Saccharomyces cerevisiae S288C: one gene and its partners. Changing the gene in region 2 together with the main gene of any one other region gives a genetic interaction. Each region holds a gene or a part of one and is shown on either strand. Other genes may lie near its edges. The genes, in order: VPS8, VPS64, ATG23 and OAR1.

Region 1 (6,498 bases), on a different chromosome or scaffold from region 2:
GGAGAGCTATTGAATATGGATGTAATTCCAATGGTGAGAAATGTTCGACCTTTAACGTATACTTCAAGGAGATTTGAAATACGAACATTAACTCCCCCTCTGATTATATATGCCAATTCTCAGACAAAATTGAATACAGCAAGGAAGTCTGCTGTCAAAGTTCCACTGGGCAAACCATTTTCTCGTTTATGGGTGAATGGATCTGGTTCCATTAGGCCAAACATATGGAAGCAGGTAGTTACTATGGTCGTTAACGAAATAATATTTCATCCAGGGATAACATTGAGTAGATTGCAATCTAGGTGTCGTGAAGTACTTTCGCTTCATGAAATATCAGAAATATGCAAATGGCTCCTAGAAAGACAAGTATTAATAACTACTGATTTTGATGGCTATTGGGTCAATCATAATTGGTATTCTATATATGAATCTACATAATGAAATGAGGTGTATAAATTTTACTTTTATGTAACCAAAGTTGTATTAAATATTTAGAAATGTTATACTATTTTTGGGTTAGATTCCGTCTGGCAAATTAAACAAGAATATTCATCGGGTTTCTGGGCCAAGTTTTCGAGGCAAGTCTGGTGAAAGCCATGGTGACATTTGAATATGACAAGGGGAGTTTTGAGATCTACACTAATCATATCTTGGTGGCGCTGTACATTTTCCCAAGCTAGAAAAAGTAATGGGTCCAGACCAGCTCCCCATATTTTTTTCCCGCAGATTTCGCAGTCGTCGGTGTGTATAGACCACCCTTCACTCAGAAATTTTCTATACTGTTGAACAAGATCTTGCGAAGAATCCTCTATAATCTTTTGAATCAACTCAGAAAGAGATCTTTCCAATTTATAAGTATTAAAAACATTCAGTAGCAGTTGCTTTAAATCCTGAACTTTCATTAAAATAACGTCTTGGTGCTCAAGAACAGAAGACATTATTTCCCAGAATTCCCCACCTGAATCCTTCTGAGAGGAACTCTTGGACCTAACCAATCCCAAAAATGCTTCTTGAAGTAGTTTATTACATAAATCTTTCCTTTCATCGTGTGAAGGATATTTCCCATATAGAGTGATCAGGAATGTAATCAATAATATCCAACACGATTTTTTCTCGGTACCAGCAGAATTACAATCATCAAAGGCCCTCCTCAAAGATTCCAATAAAGTAGATATATTTGTTTTCCCTTCATTTAGACATTGTTCAATAAAACTTAATAAATCCCTGACTGCTAGGTTAAAACTTTCCAAGCGTTCGTGAATTATAGCTGCAGCTTCAAAATTAGAGTCTTGATTCAATAAGTCCAGAATTTGTAAGCTCTCAGCGTTGCTGAGAACTGTACCATTAAGCCAAAGAATCATTTCCCTTTTGCTCTTGTATTTACAGTTCAATTCGATGTGTAAATTTCTTAAACGCTTATCGACCTTATTGTTGATATTTGGCGTAGAAAAAAGCTTATCCAAATACTTTTGCTGAGTCTCCTCATTCTTTACTTCCAGGATTTCTTGATGAAGATTATAGTCAAAGTCAGAAAAAATTGTGACGCATTTTTCGATACCGATCCTTGAGAGAAGAAGATCAAAGTTCGTCTCGATAACTTCAGTAACTTTGCCACATTCTAAACTTCCAGGTGGGCATTTTTTGAGTATGTAGTCGGTTATGGATACAATGTCCGTGTTATATTCTTTTTCGATGTCCTTAGTTTCTAAAATAAGTGAAAGCGCACTGGCGTACTTATTTTCACTTTTATAGATATGGAAAAGAACTTTATTGAAATTTTTTTCTTTTAGTTCCAGTATAAAATTTTCTGTTGTTCTTGAATGATAATAGGGTAAAAGCGACTCCAGAGCTATTTGAGAAATTTCATATATACCTTGAACCCTAGAGGAGCATATGGTATTAACAACGCAGTCGAGGGCTTGGTTAGACACTTTAATAAATTGAGGATATTTTGATATACTAGTTGCAATGAAAATTGCAACAAGTACCCTGATGTTGTCTGAATTTCCCGTATCTTTCATAGCATCCAATAGTAGATCAATAACATATTGCCTACTTACCAATTCTGCTTCTCCAACTGATGCAACCATGTCATTGTCATCGTTAAACAAGGACGCTTCAAACACTTCATTGAGCATTGCTAAGAACCTACTCGGATTCGATTTCAATAAAAGGTGAAAGTAAGGAAATGCTGGCTCTTCTTCTGGATTTTCGCATATGTAAAGTTTATGATTGCTGTTCGACGGCCATTTTATGGAGAAGCCACTAAAAATAAATGCTGAAAGTTCCCTTTGTATTTTGGAGCATTTATCACTTGGTGATATAGACAAGTTTTGTGGATATTGCCTGCCAGTAAGGATATACGTTACGTAATCAAATATAGTCGTTTCAGGAGGTACTTGAGGACCATTGAAGATCACACATTTTTCACTTTGGTTAGAAATCCTGTATATCAAGTCCACCACTGGGGTTTGATAATCATCAAAGATCTTGTTCCAAATATATATTAATAAATCGAACAAATTATACTTTTGGCATAGTTTGACGGCAAGATCAACATCAAGCGTAGTAGGATTTAACATGATGATTAAGTCTTCAATTACTTTTAAATTCTCCTCCTTAGCATAGTAATCAATTATGGACCTGAAAAGAACTGGGGAAATTGACGTAACTGATCCTTGGGCAACAATATTTGCTACAACTTCAAAATATACCGCGTTGTCCTTCAATTCAAAGAACTCCAGACCCTGTTCCAAAAAGACGTCTAGAGAAGGAATTGAGTCTAGTTTTTTGGAAGATTGCTGCAAAACACGAACAACTACCATTAATAATTGGTAAACCCTATTGTAGTCGGCATTATCTTTTTTTATAAGAAACCTTAGGGCAGCCAAGGACAGATTGTAAAATGGTTCCATAAGTTGCTTAGTCCTCTCTTCCGTATTATTATCTAGCTTCAACAAGTTTGCCAGTGGACAGTAAGGTTGCAAAAGTGATTCTATGAACTCCAATGCACCCAAGTAGTCGCCTTTCAAAATATGTCTTAAAGTAATATCTGACCAAGACACAAATTTGCCAATTTTAAATGAGTAGTTTGTTAACAGGTAGAAACTTCTTCTACTTATTACAAAATATTTATTAGGTGGGATCATCAAATCGTGAATCAGAAAATCCAATCTTAACAGGATCTTGAAGTCATGTTGGGGGTGCAATACCAAAAATTGGTGCGATATGGTTAAAACACCAAGTAGGAGCTGGTCAATCCATTGAATGGATAATATAGATTCTGCAAATTCAGGAGAATGGCTAGCGGACTGAACATTGAAGTCTGATGAAGATATGGAAATAACAGAAATTTTATTATTTACGGAATAAGCAACCCTGGAACAGTTTTGAGTCCATGAAATAGAGCTATTCACGACTAGAGAATTTTGTACTGAGGGTTCAACAGTTTCTTGAAACATCAAAGAAACGTGTGGCGATAATAAAATAAGGGCAAAATGTGTAGTTGTGAGTACACTCAACAAATTAGTGGAAATTTTCTCCCGTGATATTAGTGGAGACAACTTTGACCTTATTAATTTCTCCTTGGAAGAGTTCACATCTAAAATTTTTTTTGAATTATACACCAACTGCCAAAAGCCTCTTCTGTAACCGTTATAGAGTGATACTTTACCTGTCCTATCACTAACAATCAGGGCTGTATGCCGAGCACCAAAAAAGTCTAACCCTGTGATTTCCTTGTTCACATGGTCATCGATGTGTAAGACTGCCGGTAAGGCAGGCGTTGGGGTCATACCATTTGTTGGTTCAGAAGTGGGTTTCACTCTATACCCTACGTTCAAGTTCCAAATGCATATATTTCCGGTCTCGTATGAGGCAGCTACATGAGTACCATCGGAACATATGACAATTGATTTCACTGGACTTCTTATTGAGTGAATAGAAGGGTCCTCAGATAAGGTCGGCACTAGGATTGTCTGCAAATGTTCATTATAATTAAAAATGAGTACGCATCCTTTAGAAGTGCCCATCAAAAAATACGTGGCTGTCGGATACAAGCACGTGGGCCCTCCATAAGCACCCAGGATGGAATATACGTGTGTTAAAGTTGTCCATGAGACTACGGATTCGGAGCCTTGTGACACTGCAGAAGCTACCCCTTTAGGACCATCTTCGTTCAGGGGAGGTGCCGTATATGAAGAACTAGATGCCAGTTTTTCACTTAATTGGGTATACGATCTAAATTCTAGGAAAGTCTTTTGAGTGTCATTAATAGTCGTATCGATGCTAGATCTGCTGTCGTGGTCAAGGCCATTTTGCTCCATTCTAGGTGTAATGAGTAATGGTCTCGGCAGATATATATTTTACACTTATTAAGCCTTTGTATGTATTGGTAATAACTGTCCTTTTTCACGCAGGTATATCATCGTAACCAGAGGTTCCCTTTTTTTTTTTTCCACAGGAAACTCACGTTTTGATTATATGTCTTTCTCGTTTTTGCCATGTTAAGCTACGAATAATGAAATTTTCCTTTTCTTCTAATCGTGAAAAAGTTATCCACCATAACTCCCTACACCGCGTATTTTCGACAAGATATTATGAGTATGTGTATTTAAGAATATGAAAAGAGATATACATAACTTGAATATTCCCGGAATAAATTCAATTAATAAACACGATTCCTTATATAGTGGTTACACAAATTAGTAATAATGTTTCGTGTGCAGTCGAAAAGTTTATCGTTCAAAATTCCTTCTGTTTTTTTTAGCCTAAAACCTAAGTTATTTCGTTGTTTTTTTCATTTATTTGTTAATCTTTACAATGTTGTTTTTGCTTTAATGTTAATTATAAAAAGTTTATAAAAAAGCCTTTTATAATTTTTGCATAGCAGCAATATCGGTAGATTGGACGTGGTCTTCGTCTTCTTCAATGCTTTGTTGCAAGTCATCCAAGGAAACCTTGTCATCTTCGACAACACAGTTAATTTGCAACTTCTTGATACCGAAACCAATTGGGATAAATTGGTGAGCACCCCAGGTCAAACCTTCCATTTCGATGGCCTTGACGTTAGCAACCATTTCTTCCAAATTGGTTTCATCATCCCATGGCTTGACATCTAGAGTGACAATGGACTTAGCAGCTGGCTTAGCTGGCTTAGCAGCCTTCTTAGCGTTGTATGCGGCAATTCTTTCAGCCTTCAACTTTTCAGCTTCAGCGTCAGCTTCTTCATCGTCGGAACCGAATAAATCGACATCGTCATCTTCTTCTTCTTCGGCAGCGGCAGCAGAGGCAGCTGGGAAAGAGTCGAATTCATCGGCCTTGGAAGCGATGTGGTTGAACCATCTGGAGAATTCTGGGTAAGCAGATTGGAAAGCCTTGAAGACAGTGACGTCAGCTTGAGAAACAGCAGTACTATTTTAAAAGGAGAAACAAAACATTTTGCTTGTTAGTAATGAGAACTTTTTTCTTGTAATGCAATCTTTAGACTCTGTCTTTCTTTTTTTGAACAAAAAAGGAAAAAAAAATAACAGATAACTAATAATGATACTCTGCTCTGTGCTATCGTCAGATACTGTGATAGTCAACCACATCTCTTTTGTCACTCATATCGGGGGTCTTACTTCCCATCATAAACACGGACCAAAGAATTAAATTCATCATTCACATAAGCGAAAAAAAGTAATCATTATTAGTTAACTTCCCTTTACATGTAACCATAGGAAAAAAAAAAAAGAAAGAAAAACAACGATCTATAAAGTAAACTAAATCGGAACATACCCTTCAATGTATGACTTGTCAGCCAAAGAAGCGTTTAATTGTTTCAAAGTTTCAATCTTGGAGAAATCGGTGGATGCCATTATGTGTGTATATATTCGGTTGGACTCTTCAGTGCTGAAAGGTAGAAAGCATGAGGTAAAAAGATAAAGAGTAGAAGGAAAAAAAAAAGAACCAACTAAATATAGTGGGTAGATAACCTTAAACTATTTATTTAGAGGCGACAATGTGAAAAATTTTTTCTTCAAAGGCTCGGTTGTCGACAAATTGTTACGTTGTGCTTTGATTTCTAAAGCGCTTCTTCACCTGCAGGTTCTGAGCCCTAAGAAAAAAAATTTCCTTGGTTGAAAATGGCGGAAAAAAAAAATTCAGAAAAAGAAATAAAGCACGTGTGCGCGGTGTGTGGATGATGGTTTCATCATTGTCAACGGCATTTTCGTTCTTGTGGATTGTTGTAAACTTTCCAGAACATTCTAGAAAGAAAGCACACGGAACGTTTAGAAGCTGTCATTTGCGTTTTTTCTCCAGATTTTAGTTGAGAAAGTAATTAAATTATTCTTCTTTTTCCAGAACGTTCCATCGGCGGCAAAAGGGAGAGAAAGAACCCAAAAAGAAGGGGGGCCATTTAGATTAGCTGATCGTTTCGAGGACTTCAAGGTTATATAAGGGGTGGATTGATGTATCTTCGAGAAGGGATTGAGTTGTAGTTTCGTTTCCCAATTC
Region 2 (6,155 bases):
TCCAAGCTTAAATCTATTGGAACATTTGCATAGATATCGATGGCGCTTTGATGAGGCAAGACCAAACTTGTTCATGGGCTTTACAACACCAGTTGACGTTGGGACCATACATCAAGAATTTCAACTGTCTCTCAAAGTGAAAGGAAGGATACAATTTCATATTGCAAAGATTGATGGTTTTCCTCGAATGAGTAGTACTGGTAAAAGTGCGAGTCTTTCTCTAAGAGGTGACAGGCAGAAAAATGAAAAAGAAAATAATGCGTTTTATAAGTTGTTTAGAGAAATTTCCAGGCTACGATCTGGAATAGGTTCCGATCTAGTTAGTTTTGATCTGCATGTTCATGGTTTCCAGGATTTGTTCTTCACTGAACTGGAGAAATTGATATTGGAGAGTTGTACCGAGCCATTATTGGCAGTATATGATTGCGTATATAAAAAGGAACTTTTGAAAATCCCCGGAGCACAAGATATAATAAAAAAGTTGATTAGTGAGCAGCTGTCAATTATCGATCGATCCTACCCGTCACTAAACACCAACCCAAACTATTCTGTAATCTTTGACAAGGAGAGAATATTTAGCTTGGTGATGAGAGATCTAGAAGTTAATGGGCACAAGCGCGCTAAGTTGGCCCAATCTTTAAATCAATTGAATCAAACGAACATTAATGAACTTAACGGATTTTTTGTTTCTCTTGGTAAGTACAAAAAATGTAACTGCAAGTGGAATGATATACTTCTGACTTTAATAAAAGGGAAACAGTTTATTACTAAGCAAAAAGCACTAGATTATCATTACCTGTGAAGAAATTTCATGTATATACAATAGATATTCCTAAATTTTCATATATGAATGGCTGCTGCGCACATGTACTTGCGAAGAGAAGCATGGGCACTGGCACTTCCGAATTTAAAGTTATTTCTTGGACTTTACAAATACCTATGATTGCAGGTCTTGTAAGTGTTGTGTAAGTATTTTTATATACCCTTTGTATATGGTAATTAAGTTTTGTAAGCAGAGGTTATTCTCAAGATTAGATACTTTTTCTGTCAACTCGCTAAGCGTCTTTGTATATTTTGCAGTTAAGGAGACCAATAATTCTTTTAAAACTGAAGAGATTTTTGGCTTGAAGTAATCTTCTGATATGTAACCTTCAATGAATTTTCGAACCCTCCTTTCATCCCTCGTCACATAATAGTTCAATGCTACGAATATCCTATAACTGATATCAGTCTCATTGATAGTGTAATCTCCCCAATAATCATGTTCCAATAGAAACGTTTTTACCTCCTTTTTGTCGTCGTCTATTAGTTCAATAATTTCGTCAGATATGTCTAAGTAGTTCCATTTGTTTCCGTCTACCACAAATCCATACTCGTTCAGTAAAAAATCATTTGAGTGTGCACCATAATTCAAAAAGAGCTCCTCGTTAATGTTGTCATAGAGGTGATCGCCGCATCTAATGGTAAATTGTCCAATTCCAATGATGTTTTCTCCTTCTGACCTCAACTGAGGACTTAACTGAGGATAGCAGTGCAAATCCGACTCACAAATGTGGTTCATGAAATCGACATACGGCACTAAAGTGAAATTGCTTGGGGAGTCCTCTATTTTCAACGGAATCTTCGCATAAAGACATCTTGAGTTTATAATAAAATAAACATGTACAAAAAGGGAGAATAACTCATCACTAGTAAATTTATCAGAATTTTTCGTACAGCTTAAGGAGCCGTAAATTTCATTCCATTTCAAAACCACCTCTGAAATGGTTTCCCAATCTTCTCTGACAAGGCCACTAATTCTTGCCATATGCTTTCGTGAGGCAGCAGGGAGATATTCAATCAGTGAATGGTAACGTGAATTGGGATCACAGTTCCAAATGGCTGGGATTGATCGCAGCTCCTCCATTGAGGGCCATACATCAAAGAATGGTTTCCAATCTGAGTAGATTTCATTGTGAGTCCATTTTGGCAATAGAAAATTTTCAACCAATATATAAAATGATACCAATTGAAATGATGATAAACTTAACAAAAACTCTTTCGATAATTCGGAATATAATCCATATCTAGGATCGGCCCAGGCTTTATTTTCCGCTTCAATAATATTGTCCTCATAATTGATTGGCTTTCTATCGATTGTGATACCAGGAATATTCAGCTCTTTATTAAACTTTGAAATATGATAGAGGATAGTGTGAAAATTTAGTTGCTTCGAGCTCGGTACTGATACAATGATATCGTTTTTTCTTATCGAACCGTGACTGAGGACGATCCCTCTGCCAGTTTCTGGCGATTCACAGATGCTGATGTTTGGTGCTATATAAAACTTATCTGATTTTTTCAGCCATGTTAGCAAGACATCAACCTTTCCTTCCATTCGCAATTTACTATGTAACTTTTTTGTAGATATTTATTCAAAATCTGTATCTTCGACAATCTTGAGACTATAGGTGATGAGTAGACGCATCCAGTTTTAGCTTGAGTTCCCGAATTTTTTTTTAATTTTACTTAATCAAGAAATCTTGAAAAAATGAAAAAAAAGAGTGTGGATCAGAATTGCAAAACAATATTCAAAGTATATGGAATATGTGCTTATTTATAATATATGGTTTTTCTCATTTCTACAGGACAAGCCCTGTTTTTGCTTTGTAGATTATGCTTGTAGTATTTTTCTTCTTTCGAGTTATTGTGGCAATTGCTTAACGGCCGTCGCAACTAAACCGAATGAAATGGCAACTACTCCAAAGAGCATTCCCTTACTAACTCTTGTTCTCTTGCCTTCGACGACTCCTAGTTCTTCAGTGCTTATTAATGTATCTTCGGTATCCTTTTTTTCTTCTCTTGAATCATTTTGTTTTACTTTAGCGTTATTGTCATTGTTAATACCACCATTAAAATTGCTTTGTGTTAAAACTAAATTTTTTCCCCTCTCTTCTTCTATTTGAAGGTTCAGCTCTCTTAATTCACTTTCGAGCTCCTGTAGCTTTTCATGGTTTTGTTTTTCCTTCAAGCTACATGCAGATTTTACTTTATTATTTTGTTGTTTGATTTCTTTTAATTGATCTTCCGATTCTTTGAGTAGCGCATCATTATTTTCTGATAGAGTTTTTTGTAAAGCCGTGCTCAGTTTCAGTAAATGCTTTTCATTCATATCAATCATGTGCTTATTGATGAAATCAAGGTTTATCGTATAGTTTTGCATAAAGTTTTGCATGGAATGTAATTTTTCCAGCTCTTGTTTTTCTAAGGACAGCTCAGTAGTCAAAGTTTTTATCATATTTATCAAATTTATGCTTGTACCTGCTGAATTGTTGATAAAAATTCCACTGAGAACCTCAGTTTCTGGACCTAAAATATCATCATCTAATTCTGAGTTATTAATATCTCCAAACATAGCTGCCTCAAAGGCTGCCCTTTGAGCCGTTGTTGCAGATGTTACACCAGCTTCGGTATAATTTTCCTTTAAATGAGATCGTATTGGAATGTGTTGATTATGATGACCTCTGTCTATCTTTATTCCGTTTATATTAGTGGAGTTCCCATTATTCTTATTAGTATGATCTTGTTTTTTCATCACCAAATTTGTGGGATCAGATACAGTGTTCATTAAGGGAATTACTGAAATCTCTTCCACATACGCACTGATTTTTCTATGTTCAAACTTTGAGTCAATATCAGTTCCCAAATCCACAGTATCACCAACTTTTAATTCTACATCATTTTGGCGTATTTTAACCCCATTAACAAATGTCCCATTGCTGGACTTTAGATCGCGAATATATATCTTTCCTGATGTAGGATCACAACTGAGACAAGCGTGATTTCTGGAAAGAACTCTTGAGTCAAAATTTCCGTTATCTGGTCTAACTTGTTGCGAAAATAAATCTCTTTTCGATCCTGAATTATTCTTGTTTACGCTATTGGTAACTGGTCGACCTAATTTAAGTCCGTCAGGTTTAAATGGTACAACAAGAAACTTGGTCTCAAAAGTTGCATTTAAGGATTTGAGTATAATAATATGTGTATGCTTCTTACGGGGTGATCCAGTTCTAAATAATGTCTCAGTTGAACCATTTTGGAATTTCGATAATTCGTCCAGTGCCGGTGGAGATACGGCTTCTACAGGAATTGTTACTTGTCCAGCCGGTGTTGGGTCTATTGAATTGTCATTTTGATCCTGACTTTGATTTTCAAATGGAGAACGGATTTTGTTGGCTAATATTGGGGATAATTGTTGCTGTTGTGAAACTTGATGGACGGAAGGTGGAGATGAAGCGGTAGGCAACAAATCTAAGCCTGGTGGTATGGTATACTGATCTATATCGACATTTGAACGGGATCCACTGCTTCTCGAGTTTGATCTAGCTCTTCCCATGGGCCTCTTAGGCGGTGACGTTTCTGGCGTCTTTGTCATTCCCTGCGAATTCGATTGATCCCTAACATAGGGAGAATGTTGCAGTTGCGGAGGGGGCCGTCTTCTTTTTTCCAGTTCTACCATGCCAAGAATTTACAGTTGTCTTCCTTCCTTCTAATTTCCAGTTGGTGAGACTGGTGACTATCCGTGGGGTCCGGATTGCGATTTACTTTCATTATGTATTTATTATTGGCGATTATAAAGTTTGTTTTCACAGGGCGTAGTAGTTAGCAACAATGAAAATGAATAATAAACAGATCACAGACGCATATATCTGTGTACGAATTGAAGGATAGGCAAAATAACCATGACAGATGCTTTGGAACAGAGCGTCCTTGCGTTGGAGGGAACAGTTTCAGTATTGAAGGATTCTGTGGAGTCTTTAAAATGTGCAAATGAGCCAAGCACGAACCTTGCATCGACAATGTTGCAAACCAAAAGGGTTTTCCGTTTAGTTCCCGAATATGATGTTGAAAGATCAAAATTAGATTTGATTGAAGAGGTAGAACCGCTGGTTAGGACTCTGGGCGATAAGTTACGTAAATCTATGGGTAGAATGCAAAGGGAACTCGATACTTTGCAGCAAACTTATGAATTAAACGATTTAAGGCTAAAGAAGAACATTAGTATGGATGACGATGATGCTCTGAATAGTCCAGACATGGGTCAAGAATACGAAGGCAGAGACGCGGACGACGTGGTTATGATGGCATCTTCTACTAATGAGGAATTGGAAGAATTGAAGAAACTAAAGGAAAAGAAGAAGCAACTGGAGAATAAGTTGGAAATACTCAAACAGAAATAGTTAGAAGTTTATTTTTTAAAGCATCCATTTATCTCTTTATCCAGTTTGTATTATAAATTATTGTTAATGTTATCGCTAGTAGATTACTTATATGTACTTAACTGTTTGCTAGCTACCAAATTTGCTTGATGGTTCGCCATCGAAGCTTTGAGACTGTTCAATTTGGCGCTTATACTGATCAAAGTTGGATCACTTGTAGATACTATTAACTTTTCACATTCCATGACTACCCTATTATCGAAAGTAACGCCCCTTCTTAATAATTCCTGAGCTTCTGGAAGTGTTATAGCTTCACTTTGAAAAGAAGAAATTATGTGGTTAAGTAATGTGGAATCCTGGACTTGTACACCGTTTTCTGAGAGGATCTTAGATAAAGTTTTGTTTCTTTCATTTGTCACTTGATTTCTTATTTGGTCGCAAAATGACCTGCCAGTTTTACTATCAATCTCGCACCAAGGTTTTTTAGTCACCTTAATTAGATTTCGTAGTTCTATGCAAAGCTCATTCCTACAAAGCGTAAGTTCCAGTCCTAGGATGTGAGCTGTGGATTCGCAGACTGAGTAACAATCCTGGAACATTTCCTTCATAGCAAAGTTGTTATCTTCTGGGAATACCAGGTCTCTAGGAGGATTTTGTAAAAGTATTAGAGAATGGTTCAAAAGTTCCATGGCCACGCCAAATTTGGATACGAATTCGCTGACATCTGTAGCTACTTGAAGTTGATTCAGTATTTCCAAAATATTTTTCAAGTGCGTCATTATCTTACTGAATTGAATAAGTAAGAAATTCAGTCCCGTATTCATTCGGAACATAACTTGTTTACCCCTTTGAAATTGTGGGAATCTGACAACAATGTGAAAGTCAACAATGTATTGGCCTTGTCTTGTGATAACACCCTTTACCGTCGGAGAGTCGTTTTGTTTGTTACTTTCGTTG
Region 3 (6,088 bases), on a different chromosome or scaffold from region 2:
GGCTGTACCTTGTGGTCTACCACAGGCCATAACTTCTTGAGTGATACAAATAGAGCCTGAACCCATACCAATTCTTAAACCATCGGCACCGGCAGCAATCAAGTTAGCAGCTTGTTCTCTGGTGGCAACGTTACCAGCAATGATTTCCAAATCTGGGAAAGTTTCTTTAATCCATTTGATCATGTTCAATTGGAAAATAGAGTTACCTTGAGAGGAATCTAAGATAACAACATCCAAACCTGCTTCGACTAATAGTCTTAACCTTTCCTTATCAGCATCGATAGTACCGATAGCAGCACCACATAACAGTTGCTTGGTGGTGGCAGATTTAGAAGCCAATGGATAGTTCTGATTTTTCATTAAATCAGTTCTGGAAAGCATAGAAACTAAGTTACCATTGTCGTCAACAATCAATAGCTTACCCTTTTTAATCTTCTTTAAAATTTCATTACCTTCAGACAATGTAATACCTTGTGCACCGGTGACAGGGTTTTTGGTCATAACATCTTGAACAAGCAAAGAGTTGTCTTCAACGAACTGAATATCACGAGAAGTGACGATACCCATCAATTTTCCGTTTCTTTTACCATCTTCTGTAACGGGGAAACCGGAAAATCCAAATCTTTCCTTCATACTCTTAGCTTCACCCACAGTAGTAGTTGGGGAAATCACTATAGGGTTGTTAATAAACCCATTTTCATAGTTCTTGACTCTTCTGACCATGTCAGCTTGGTCCTCTGGGGTACAGTTGTGGTGAATAAAACCGATACCACCCAACAAAGCCATGAAGATGGCCATTTCTGATTCTGTCACGGTGTCCATTGGAGAGGAAACGAATGGGGTGTTCAAAGTGATATTCCTTGTCAACTTAGTTTGTAGGCTAACTTCAGAAGATGGGAAATCAACCAGACCTGGCAAAACCAAAAAGTCGTTATAAGTCAACCCACCTCTGGTCTTGGAGTCCATCAACTCCTGGACAGACAAACCATCTAGTCTTGGTAAGCTCTTGGCGAATTCCAAGGCAGTCTTGTAGTCTCTAACGGCGGCCATTGCTTTTACTACTTTCGGAGTTATTAATTGCACTGATAATATTTACTGCTGTTAACCTGTCGATGACTTCTTTTCCTTAGAATAAAAGTGAGACAGATGAGATGACGTGCTTTTCTGCGAGTTTAGAAAGTCTTTCTAAGTTAAGTTATATAGAAGCAAGAAAGAAAAGAAATAGAGTAAAAAAGAGAAAGTTCCCAGTACACTAGGTGAAAATGCACAAGCCCACGAAACTGGAGTAAACCTCCAAGGGTCCCAACACTCAAAAATCTTGTTGGATCTCGGAAGGGCAAATTATTCAACTATTTATACCTTTCTATTTCTTCTTTTTTTTTTTTTTTTTTTCAGTGAAAAATTTTTCATTTTTCGGAAAAAGAAACGTGTGCGGCTTTGAAGGCTAATATTTATGTAATTAACCAGAGTTAGAAATGAACACAATAGTGGTTAAAGAAGCCACTGGGTCACTGGAAAAAAGTACATCTTGTTAGCCATCAAGTAACAGGTTTATGTATTGGGAATTATGGTTTTTCAAGTTCCCTTGTCTCTTTTTTCCCGATATCCTAGCCCTAGGACAACTTGTAGGGTATCAGCGCATATGTTCAAAAAATTTAAGGGCGTAAGCTCTGGCGTTTAGGTGCGCAATTAACAAAAGGTATAGATAGTCTTTTTATAGTGTAAATCATATACAAATAATAGAACACAGAGAACGTCTGTATATATCTATTGGAGAACCGGCTAAGGAATGGAAAAGTGAAGGATAGAGTACGTTTTAGTTCAAGTGATTATTTTCGTTTTCTTGTTCCACATTTTAACCTCGTTGTTCTATAAGGTAACAAAATAAAGTGAAGAAGTAAATATGGAACTGAATCAGGTTTTAGAAAAAAAGGAGCAGATTCTGCAATACTTAGGCACTCTGGTCGGGCTTCACGAAAAAGCGTTGTCTGATGTAAATTCGGCTTCCCAGGTGACAAGCATCCGGAAGGATATCACTATTTGCTTAAACGATCTATGCAGAATTAATGATCTCTTAGTATCCCATGATGGTCTATTGAAAAGAGAAATTGGGTCCTTACTTCGAGACAAACAAGAGCTACTAGAACTGAACGAAAGAGAGCAGCTTCTTTGGAAAGAGCGGAAGTCGTGGCATATTAAGCAAGAAACCGATGCTGCGCCGGCGGACTATGTTATCGATAAGGACGCCATAATTACCATTTCATCGCACCACCGGACATCACTAAACAAATATATCGAGTCAGTGGGGGCAGAAAATACAATACTATCCAATACGGATGATTCGGATGCAATGATCGAGGAAGTACAGAACGCTGAATCTTCTGCGGATCAAATGATACGTAATTACAAACTGTTACAATTATCTCATAAGCAAGCTAAATCAGAAATAATAAGGCTGGAAACTTTATTAAGAGACTTCAAAAAGGACAATAAATTCATTGAAGAGGAGTTAAAAAGGCAATCTGGACGGATACGTTCCGAAATGGGTAATATTGATTTTCATTTGTCCAAGATAGAGGAATCTAAGCATCAATTAATGAAAAGAATAGGATTCGAGTCGCCCCTGACACAGGAAAAATCACTATCAGAAAAGATATTCAATTTAAGGCTGTCCAGCGCGGATGAAGATTACAATGAGAGACAAACTATCAACATGAAAAATTTTGTTCATATGAAGGATCTCATAGAACTGAAAATTGAAGATCTACAAGAGCAACTAATGAGAAATAAAAATGAGTCTTCTACAGTACTAACGCAACGTGAATTATGGCTAGATTGTCAAAAAAAAGTAGGAGATTTGGAAAGCAAATTAATAACCAAACTTCGGAGCAGCAGCAACTCCAAAATACCTCCAAATGAAATGTCAGAAATGATCAATTCTACAATACAGTACCTAAATAACCTTCTTGACTCTTCTGATGAAAAGCTCACGACAACTTTAATATCAAACGAAAGGGACGTACTTTCGAAAGCTTGTGAAGAACTCCATAGCGAAAGTACCACTGCACAAGATGGGTCAAGCGCACTACCTTCTAAACCAATTGATATACACAAAAGCCATAAAGGGTCGAACGCGAGTTCAAATTTAAAACAGCCCTCGACTCCCTCATTCTTGGTTGCTAGCAAATCGCCACCAAAGATTGGCATTTCTGAAAGTGTAGTAAACGCTAATAAAAATGATGCCATATCAAAAAAAGTTGAATGAAATGCAAATAGCTAGAGTAGCCATGAGGATAATGTAAATTTAAACATTGTATGCCCACGTAATAGTCAAACTCTTTCACGTCAAATTGAAAAAAAATGTTCTTTTTGCTGAAATAATGAAAAATAATGAAAAATAATGTTGCTATTAAATTCAATATAAATGTATACACCAATATATATGCAGGTATAATTCCTAACACTTTTACTTCAAGATCATGATCTAGGCTTTCTTTTTTTTGGGATAAATGGGCTAGATGAAGCATTCCGTCTCGAACTGTTGCGTGTGCCTGTGGGCCCACTACCAGGTCCTTTGAATGCTGAAGATTGTGGTTGCGGATGGGGGTTTAAATCATATGGATCTTCTGCCTCAGCAGGATAGCTGTCTTGCGGATGGGCGGGCAGAGTTTCATGCAGTTCGCCTGTACCCACAGGAGCCGTTGAGTATTGATTCGCATTACCCACATGTTGAGAGAGGGTCCTATTTGCTCCATTCTGTCCATTTTGATTGGGTTCACCGTAATCGGAAGCAGTCAGGATCCTCGAAGAACCACCGGATAAAACACTATTTGAACTTCTGTGTTTTGTAATAGCAGCAGGTACCTGCGTCTGCTTTGCTTGCGAAACTTGTGGATCGTCGTATATACTAGCGCTGAAATTTTGGTTATGAGAAGCCACCCTGTTGTTACGACCATTTGCTTCACTTTTCATTAATGAAGAATCGGAGATTGACGGCGTATAATCATCTTCGTCATCATCATCCTCATTATTACTGATTTCAGGCGGAGAAATTGTTCTCGTCTCCTTCAAACCTAACTGCTTTTCCTTCAATACAGAGGATAAACTTCTGGTCACTTTAATTTCAGGTTCGTCATTTCTTGGTATGAAACTAACATCATCCGAAAAACAAACGTGTTTGTTATTTTTCTTTTTACCAACAACTGCTGCTGCCTTTTTGTTGCTGTCCACATCAGGAAAAGTTTTAGGAACTACGGCACTCGGTACACTCATTCCACCAAAAATGGATGACTTTTTCTTTGTACCAGATGAGGTGCTGGGCGATTCTGCCTTCTTGTTATTCTTTTTCTTATCATCTGCCTTGGACTTTTTCTTTTCCTTCTTCTTCTCTTTCTTCTTTTTCTTTACAGCTTTATCTGCCTCTTCACCTTCATCGACAACTCTTCTCTTCTTTGTGTCCTTATTGGATTTTACCTCATCGGGGCCTTGCGTAATATATTCCATGGGTAGCTTATAATCATCTTCTTGCTCTGATGGTACGGGTACATTGAACTTTCTTAAAATACTTTGAGCTCTATTATTTCTGGGATCCAGGAAACCCGAGCAAGCATATGCAAGACAACTTCTATCTTTTGCATCTTCAATCAAATCTCTCCATAACTTGCTTTTAGCCAGAGACCTTTGATGTCCCAAAACCCAAATACTTGTCTTGGCTCTAGTCAGAGCCACATTCATACGACGAAAGTCCTTTAAAAAACCGACACTAGATTTCGTATCATCGGCACGGACACACGATATCAAGATGATTTCTTTTTCTTGACCTTGGAAACCGTCGATTGTATTGAAATCGATTGATTTGTTGATCATGCCTCCAAAATAGCGGGCAAACTCTTTACGCATTTTTTGCATTTGCTCTCTATAAGGTGAAATTATACCGATTTTTCCCGTGAAATCAATTTTATTATCGAATTTTCTGAAAAGGTAGTCAACTAACTCAATGGCAACACGTATTTCCTCCATATTTGTATAAGACATAGTCTTCGCATTTTGTTCTTGCCTACCACTAATGATGTCAAAAAATTTGTAGGGAGCTAATGGCTCAAGCTGGTGCCAGGGTCTTTTGTTCAAGATATCCATACCAGGGCCGTCTTTTAGTCGTCCCTGATAAAATTCAGAAGAGGGGAATTTACTGATGGAAGGATGCATACGGTATTGAACATCCAGCAAGTATGGGGAGCTATTTTTCTCCATTCTAACGAACAGTGACTGATTGTATTTAAAATTGCTTGCTGCACCTGAAAGAACAGTTGGTGGTAGTTGGTTAGGATCACCAACCATAATACAACGCTTCCCTCCATACCTGAGAGGAATAATTGAAGAAAGTTCGGTACATTGACATGCTTCATCTATAATGACCGTATCAAATTTAATACCCATTGTTGCGAGTACATCATGGGCTGAACCAGATAAAGTCGAACATATGATGTCACTAACCGCCAAGATATGGGCCTGTGCATTCCTTCTATCCAAATCCCTATTCCTATAATTTACGGAATTCTTCTCACGCATTTCGTCCCTATCACGGCCAAGTTCATTGATTATTTTACTTAGCTCCCTAATCTTAAGTTGTAATTTACTGATATCTTCGGTTGACATTGGACTTTCTGGATTACCACTCTCAGAGTCTAATTTTCCTCTCAATTCTCTTCTTTTAGTCACAGCATTATTAAATTTACGTTCTAGTTCCGGATCTGTTCTGATTTCGTAATTCCTTTCACCTATCCTTTTATCCACAAGTTCTTCTAAAGTAAGGTCCTTAATTGCAACGTTTACAACGTCTGACCTACCTACACGGACCAATTGAGGTTTAAATTGATGCCCCTGCTTGTCATACACTCCACTCTTCAGTCTGAGGCAGATTTCGTCCACAGCGGCATTACTGGGGGCACAGATTAGAATTTTTTGCTTTTTTAACAGTTGTTCAGTATTCGATGAGTTCTTTTCTAGTGGCACTTTGATGACATTTGAAGATGAGGCATTCTTTGTAGACAAAAAGTAACCAATAATACCCAGTATAGTCTTTGTTTTA
Region 4 (5,385 bases), on a different chromosome or scaffold from region 2:
TTTCGTTCTCTCCCATATAAACGTTTCATTCCTTTTCCTAAGTCTTTTACAGTAATTTCAGAAACATTCGTATTTTATATTTGATCTTTTGAAGCTACAAGAAAAACTCTTACCAATTACCCCAAAAAAATCACCATCATAAAGTACTTACATATTTATTTTTGTTTGGTCGTTTTCTCAATATAATCTACATCATCATATATATATAATGTCTACACAATTTAGGAAGTCTAATCATAATAGTCATAGTAGTAAAAAACTAAATCCTGCGCTAAAGTCCAAAATAGATACGCTTACAGAATTGTTCCCTGACTGGACGAGTGATGATTTAATTGATATAGTTCAAGAATATGATGATTTGGAAACTATAATTGATAAAATTACTTCCGGCGCAGTGACAAGATGGGATGAAGTAAAGAAACCTGCTAAGAAGGAAAAATATGAAAAAAAGGAGCAACAACACTCATATGTCCCTCAACAACATTTGCCAAATCCAGAAGATGATATTACATATAAGAGTTCTAATAATAGCAATTCTTTTACTTCTACAAAGCATAACAGTAGTAACAATTATACTCAAGCCAGAAATAAGAAGAAGGTACAAACACCACGAGCTCATACAACCGGGAAACATGTTAATCTCGACAAGGGGAAGCACGTACCATCCAAGCCTGTTTCAAACACTACATCGTGGGCAGCAGCTGTTTCTGTAGATACTAAACATGACGTTCCTCAAGATTCAAATGATAACAATAATGAAGAATTAGAAGCACAAGGGCAACAAGCGCAGGAGAAAAATCAAGAAAAAGAGCAAGAAGAGCAACAACAGCAGGAAGGGCATAATAACAAAGAAGAACACAAACAAATAGAGCAACCTTCTTTATCTTCAAAGAAAACAACTTCTAGGACATCTGCTTCACAACCAAAGAAAATGTCGTGGGCTGCAATTGCTACACCAAAGCCAAAGGCTGTTAAAAAGACCGAGTCTCCTCTTGAAAACGTTGCTGAATTGAAGAAAGAAATAAGCGATATTAAGAAGGATGACCAAAAGTCTGAAGCTAGTGAAGAAAAAGTTAATGAACAAGAAACATCTGCACAAGAACAAGAGGAGGAGACTGCTGAACCTTCTGAAGAAAATGAAGACAGAGTCCCTGAAGTGGACGGAGAAGAAGTCCAAGAAGAAGCTGAAAAAAAGGAACAAGTAAAAGAAGAGGAACAGACAGCGGAAGAGCTGGAACAAGAACAAGATAATGTTGCTGCTCCAGAAGAAGAAGTTACAGTTGTTGAAGAAAAGGTTGAAATTAGTGCTGTTATTTCAGAGCCTCCAGAAGATCAAGCTAATACTGTACCTCAACCACAACAACAATCCCAACAACCACAGCAACCACAGCAACCACAGCAACCACAGCAACCACAGCAACCACAGCAACAACAACAACCACAGCAACCACAACAACCACAACAACAACTACAACAGCAACAGCAACAGCAACAACAACCAGTACAAGCTCAAGCTCAAGCCCAAGAAGAACAATTATCTCAAAACTACTATACTCAACAACAGCAGCAACAATACGCTCAACAACAGCATCAGTTACAGCAACAGTATTTGTCCCAACAACAACAATATGCTCAGCAACAGCAACAGCATCCACAACCTCAATCACAACAACCTCAATCACAGCAAAGTCCACAAAGTCAAAAACAAGGGAACAACGTGGCTGCCCAACAGTACTACATGTATCAAAACCAATTTCCTGGATATTCTTATCCAGGTATGTTTGATTCACAAGGATACGCTTACGGTCAACAATATCAGCAACTTGCTCAAAACAACGCTCAAACTAGTGGTAATGCTAACCAATATAATTTCCAACAAGGTTATGGTCAAGCAGGCGCGAACACTGCTGCTGCTAATTTGACTAGTGCTGCCGCTGCTGCTGCCGCTTCTCCAGCTACAGCTCACGCCCAACCTCAACAACAACAGCCATACGGTGGCTCATTCATGCCATACTACGCCCACTTTTACCAACAGTCATTCCCATATGGTCAACCTCAATACGGTGTAGCTGGTCAATATCCATACCAGTTACCAAAGAACAATTACAACTATTACCAAACTCAAAACGGTCAGGAACAGCAAAGTCCAAATCAAGGTGTTGCCCAGCATTCTGAAGACTCTCAACAGAAGCAATCACAACAGCAACAGCAACAGCAACCTCAAGGTCAACCCCAACCTGAAGTTCAAATGCAAAATGGCCAACCTGTTAACCCACAACAACAAATGCAGTTCCAACAATACTATCAATTCCAACAACAACAGCAACAAGCTGCTGCCGCTGCCGCTGCTGCTGCCCAACAAGGTGTACCATATGGCTACAACGGTTATGATTACAATTCTAAAAATTCAAGAGGTTTCTACTAATAAGGGAGAAGTAGAACCTCCCACATAAAAAACGAAATGGGGAATAAAATACAATGAATTTAAATACACATTTTATTACCACTATTATGTTTTACTTTCTTCAATGTTTGGGCAAGGATTCCATATCCTTTTGATGATGTCATATATCATTTAAATTTTGCATATATATATATACGTACGTAAATAATAAAAGGTATATATATGTTGTGTTATCTATCTAGCTAGCTGTGTCTTTATTTTGCGGGGTTTTGGAAATGCCACTTTTTCTGTTTTATATATCACAGCGTCAAAATTTCCGCCGTTACTGTTTGCAACTGATGAGAACTATGGAATACACATGAGTACATTGGTATAGACGTGGGAGAAGAAAAGTCTGGAAATGCATTATTTGCCTGTTGCGATAGTAACAGGTGCCACTAGGGGTATAGGCAAGGCAATATGTCAAAAGTTATTTCAAAAGGGTTTAAGTTGCATTATACTTGGGTCTACTAAAGAAAGTATAGAGCGCACCGCGATAGATAGAGGCCAATTACAATCGGGATTATCATATCAGCGGCAATGTGCTATAGCAATTGATTTTAAGAAATGGCCTCACTGGCTTGACTATGAGTCATATGACGGTATCGAATATTTCAAAGATAGACCGCCCTTGAAACAGAAATATTCCACATTGTTCGACCCATGTAACAAATGGTCAAATAATGAACGCCGCTACTACGTAAACTTATTGATTAACTGCGCAGGCTTGACTCAAGAATCATTAAGTGTAAGAACCACTGCATCTCAAATTCAGGACATAATGAATGTTAACTTTATGAGCCCTGTGACGATGACAAACATCTGTATTAAGTATATGATGAAGTCGCAAAGGAGATGGCCGGAACTCAGTGGTCAATCTGCTCGACCCACCATCGTAAATATTTCCTCCATTCTACACTCCGGAAAAATGAAGGTTCCAGGTACATCTGTTTACTCCGCCTCTAAAGCCGCACTGTCCAGATTTACAGAAGTTTTAGCTGCAGAAATGGAACCAAGAAACATTAGGTGTTTTACGATATCTCCAGGTTTAGTCAAAGGGACCGATATGATCCAAAATTTGCCAGTGGAGGCTAAAGAAATGCTGGAGAGAACCATTGGGGCAAGCGGTACAAGCGCACCCGCTGAAATAGCGGAAGAAGTCTGGTCTCTATACAGTAGAACTGCTTTGGAGACGTAAAAGAAAATCGAAACAAATAATAGATTTGTGTCTGTTCAATGTGTATATCGATGAGCTCAGTGAACACATTTTCACATCACGTTTCTTTTTTTTCTTTTTTCCGCTAAGAAAAATTTTCCAGAATTTTTCAGAGGCAAAACAAAACTCATCGATTTCGCACGCATTTCTCGTAGAATTGATATTTTTTTATTTTTTTATTGGTTTTTTTTTTTTTTTTCACTTTTTTTTCTTCCTTTCATGATATTTATAAGGAGAAGTATTTCAATTGGGACTTAAAAAAAAATTTTATTTTGGTTAATGTTTTCATTCAATGGTTTACTACTTTCATTTTAGCTTTTTAACAATTTTCTTTCTGGGGTCTCAGTTGCGGTTAGCAGATTAACACAGAACATACTATAGACAAATATGATTATTTACAAGGATATCTTCTCTAACGACGAATTGTTGTCTGATGCTTACGACGCTAAGTTAGTTGATGACGTTATCTACGAAGCCGACTGTGCTATGGTCAATGTCGGAGGTGACAACATCGATATCGGTGCTAACCCATCTGCTGAAGGTGGTGACGATGATGTTGAAGAAGGTGCTGAAATGGTCAACAACGTTGTCCACTCTTTCCGTCTACAACAAACCGCTTTTGACAAGAAGTCCTTCTTGACCTACATTAAGGGTTACATGAAGGCTGTTAAAGCTAAGTTGCAAGAAACTAACCCAGAAGAAGTTCCTAAATTCGAAAAGGGTGCTCAAACTTACGTCAAGAAGGTTATTGGTTCTTTCAAGGACTGGGAGTTCTTCACTGGTGAATCCATGGACCCAGATGCCATGGTTGTCATGTTGAACTACCGTGAAGATGGTACCACTCCATTTGTTGCCATCTGGAAGCACGGTATTGTGGAAGAAAAGATCTAAGTCTAGCGAAATTAGAAAAATTTTCGTATTTTGTATTTGAATTTGAGAGTAGGACTCCCCTTTCTCATTTTTAATGTATATGTAACCTCTCTCTCTTTTTTCTCTGCATCAACTTTTTAGCTTCTATTCTTTGATTCTATAGGTATCTAAACTTCCTAATTACTTCTTAACACGCATTAGGACGTTTTTAATTATTCTATGATTTTATTAAGACACGTTTATCAATTGCCGTAGATATGTATAGTTCATCAATATTTTCTTTTCCATTACCCTACAGAACTTTCATGTTTTTTGTTTTCCTGTCTTTTTCTCCAATTACGTGAAAAAAAAATTGAATTGAAATAGCATGAGAAGCTGAGAAACAAGTAGAAATTGACGAAATCCAACGTTCATAAGCATTTTTCAAGAGGTCGCAATTTCACTCGTACACAACTGACCTATTATGGCATGCCTCTCAAGAATTGATGCAAATTTGCTCCAATATTATGAAAAACCTGAACCCAATAATACGGTTGATTTATACGTCAGTAATAACAGTAATAATAACGGGCTGAAAGAAGGAGATAAGTCCATCTCTACACCAGTTCCTCAGCCTTACGGAAGTGAATATTCCAATTGTTTGTTATTGAGTAACTCTGAGTATATCTGTTACCATTTTTCCTCAAGATCAACATTGTTGACATTTTATCCTTTGAGTGACGCATACCATGGGAAGACAATTAATATACACTTACCAAATGCTTCTATGAATCAGAGATACACTTTAACGATACAAGAAGTGGAACAGCAATTACTGGTTAATGTTATCTTAAAAGATGGTTCGTTTTTAACGTTA

The links.
Region 1: mutations in VPS64 (region 2) and VPS8 together harm fitness more than expected from each alone (negative genetic interaction), as found in Saccharomyces cerevisiae (4 studies listed by BioGRID).
Region 3: mutations in VPS64 (region 2) and ATG23 together harm fitness more than expected from each alone (negative genetic interaction), as found in Saccharomyces cerevisiae (2 studies listed by BioGRID).
Region 4: mutations in VPS64 (region 2) and OAR1 together harm fitness more than expected from each alone (negative genetic interaction), as found in Saccharomyces cerevisiae (2 studies listed by BioGRID).

What each region holds. Positions count from the first base shown.
Region 1 is NC_001133.9:141,534-148,031, reverse strand, and holds VPS8 (CORVET complex membrane-binding subunit VPS8), read right to left. Parts: upstream 4,326-6,498; coding exon 501-4,325; downstream 1-500. Other genes in the region: transcription factor TFIIIC subunit TFC3, read left to right, coding at 1-438; EFB1 (translation elongation factor 1 subunit beta), read right to left, coding at 4,872-5,412, 5,779-5,858. UniProt on the Saccharomyces cerevisiae protein: Required for localization and recycling of the CPY sorting receptor (VPS10) to the late-Golgi compartment. Involved in the retention of proteins to the late-Golgi. Plays an integral role in the complex vacuolar protein sorting process.
Region 2 is NC_001136.10:851,596-857,750, forward strand, and holds VPS64 (Vps64p), read right to left. Parts: upstream 4,499-6,155; coding exon 2,684-4,498; downstream 1-2,683. Other genes in the region: CBS2 (Cbs2p), read left to right, coding at 1-802; RKM2 (protein-lysine N-methyltransferase), read right to left, coding at 938-2,377; SPC19 (Spc19p), read left to right, coding at 4,722-5,219; RAV2 (Rav2p), read right to left, coding at 5,303-6,155. UniProt on the Saccharomyces cerevisiae protein: Participates in the control of the reentry into the cell cycle following pheromone treatment. Involved in vacuolar protein sorting.
Region 3 is NC_001144.5:997,519-1,003,606, reverse strand, and holds ATG23 (Atg23p), read left to right. Parts: upstream 1-1,903; coding exon 1,904-3,265; downstream 3,266-6,088. Other genes in the region: IMP dehydrogenase IMD3, read right to left, coding at 1-1,050; DNA/RNA helicase SEN1, read right to left, coding at 3,478-6,088. UniProt on the Saccharomyces cerevisiae protein: Required for cytoplasm to vacuole transport (Cvt) vesicle formation and efficient autophagy. Plays a role in ATG protein retrieval from the pre-autophagosomal structure (PAS) and is especially required for autophagy-dependent cycling of ATG9.
Region 4 is NC_001143.9:333,577-338,961, reverse strand, and holds OAR1 (3-oxoacyl-[acyl-carrier-protein] reductase (NADPH)), read left to right. Parts: upstream 1-2,804; coding exon 2,805-3,641; downstream 3,642-5,385. Other genes in the region: DNA damage-responsive RNA polymerase-degradation factor DEF1, read left to right, coding at 209-2,425; TMA19 (Tma19p), read left to right, coding at 4,047-4,550; NUP120 (Nup120p), read left to right, coding at 4,993-5,385. UniProt on the Saccharomyces cerevisiae protein: Involved in biosynthesis of fatty acids in mitochondria.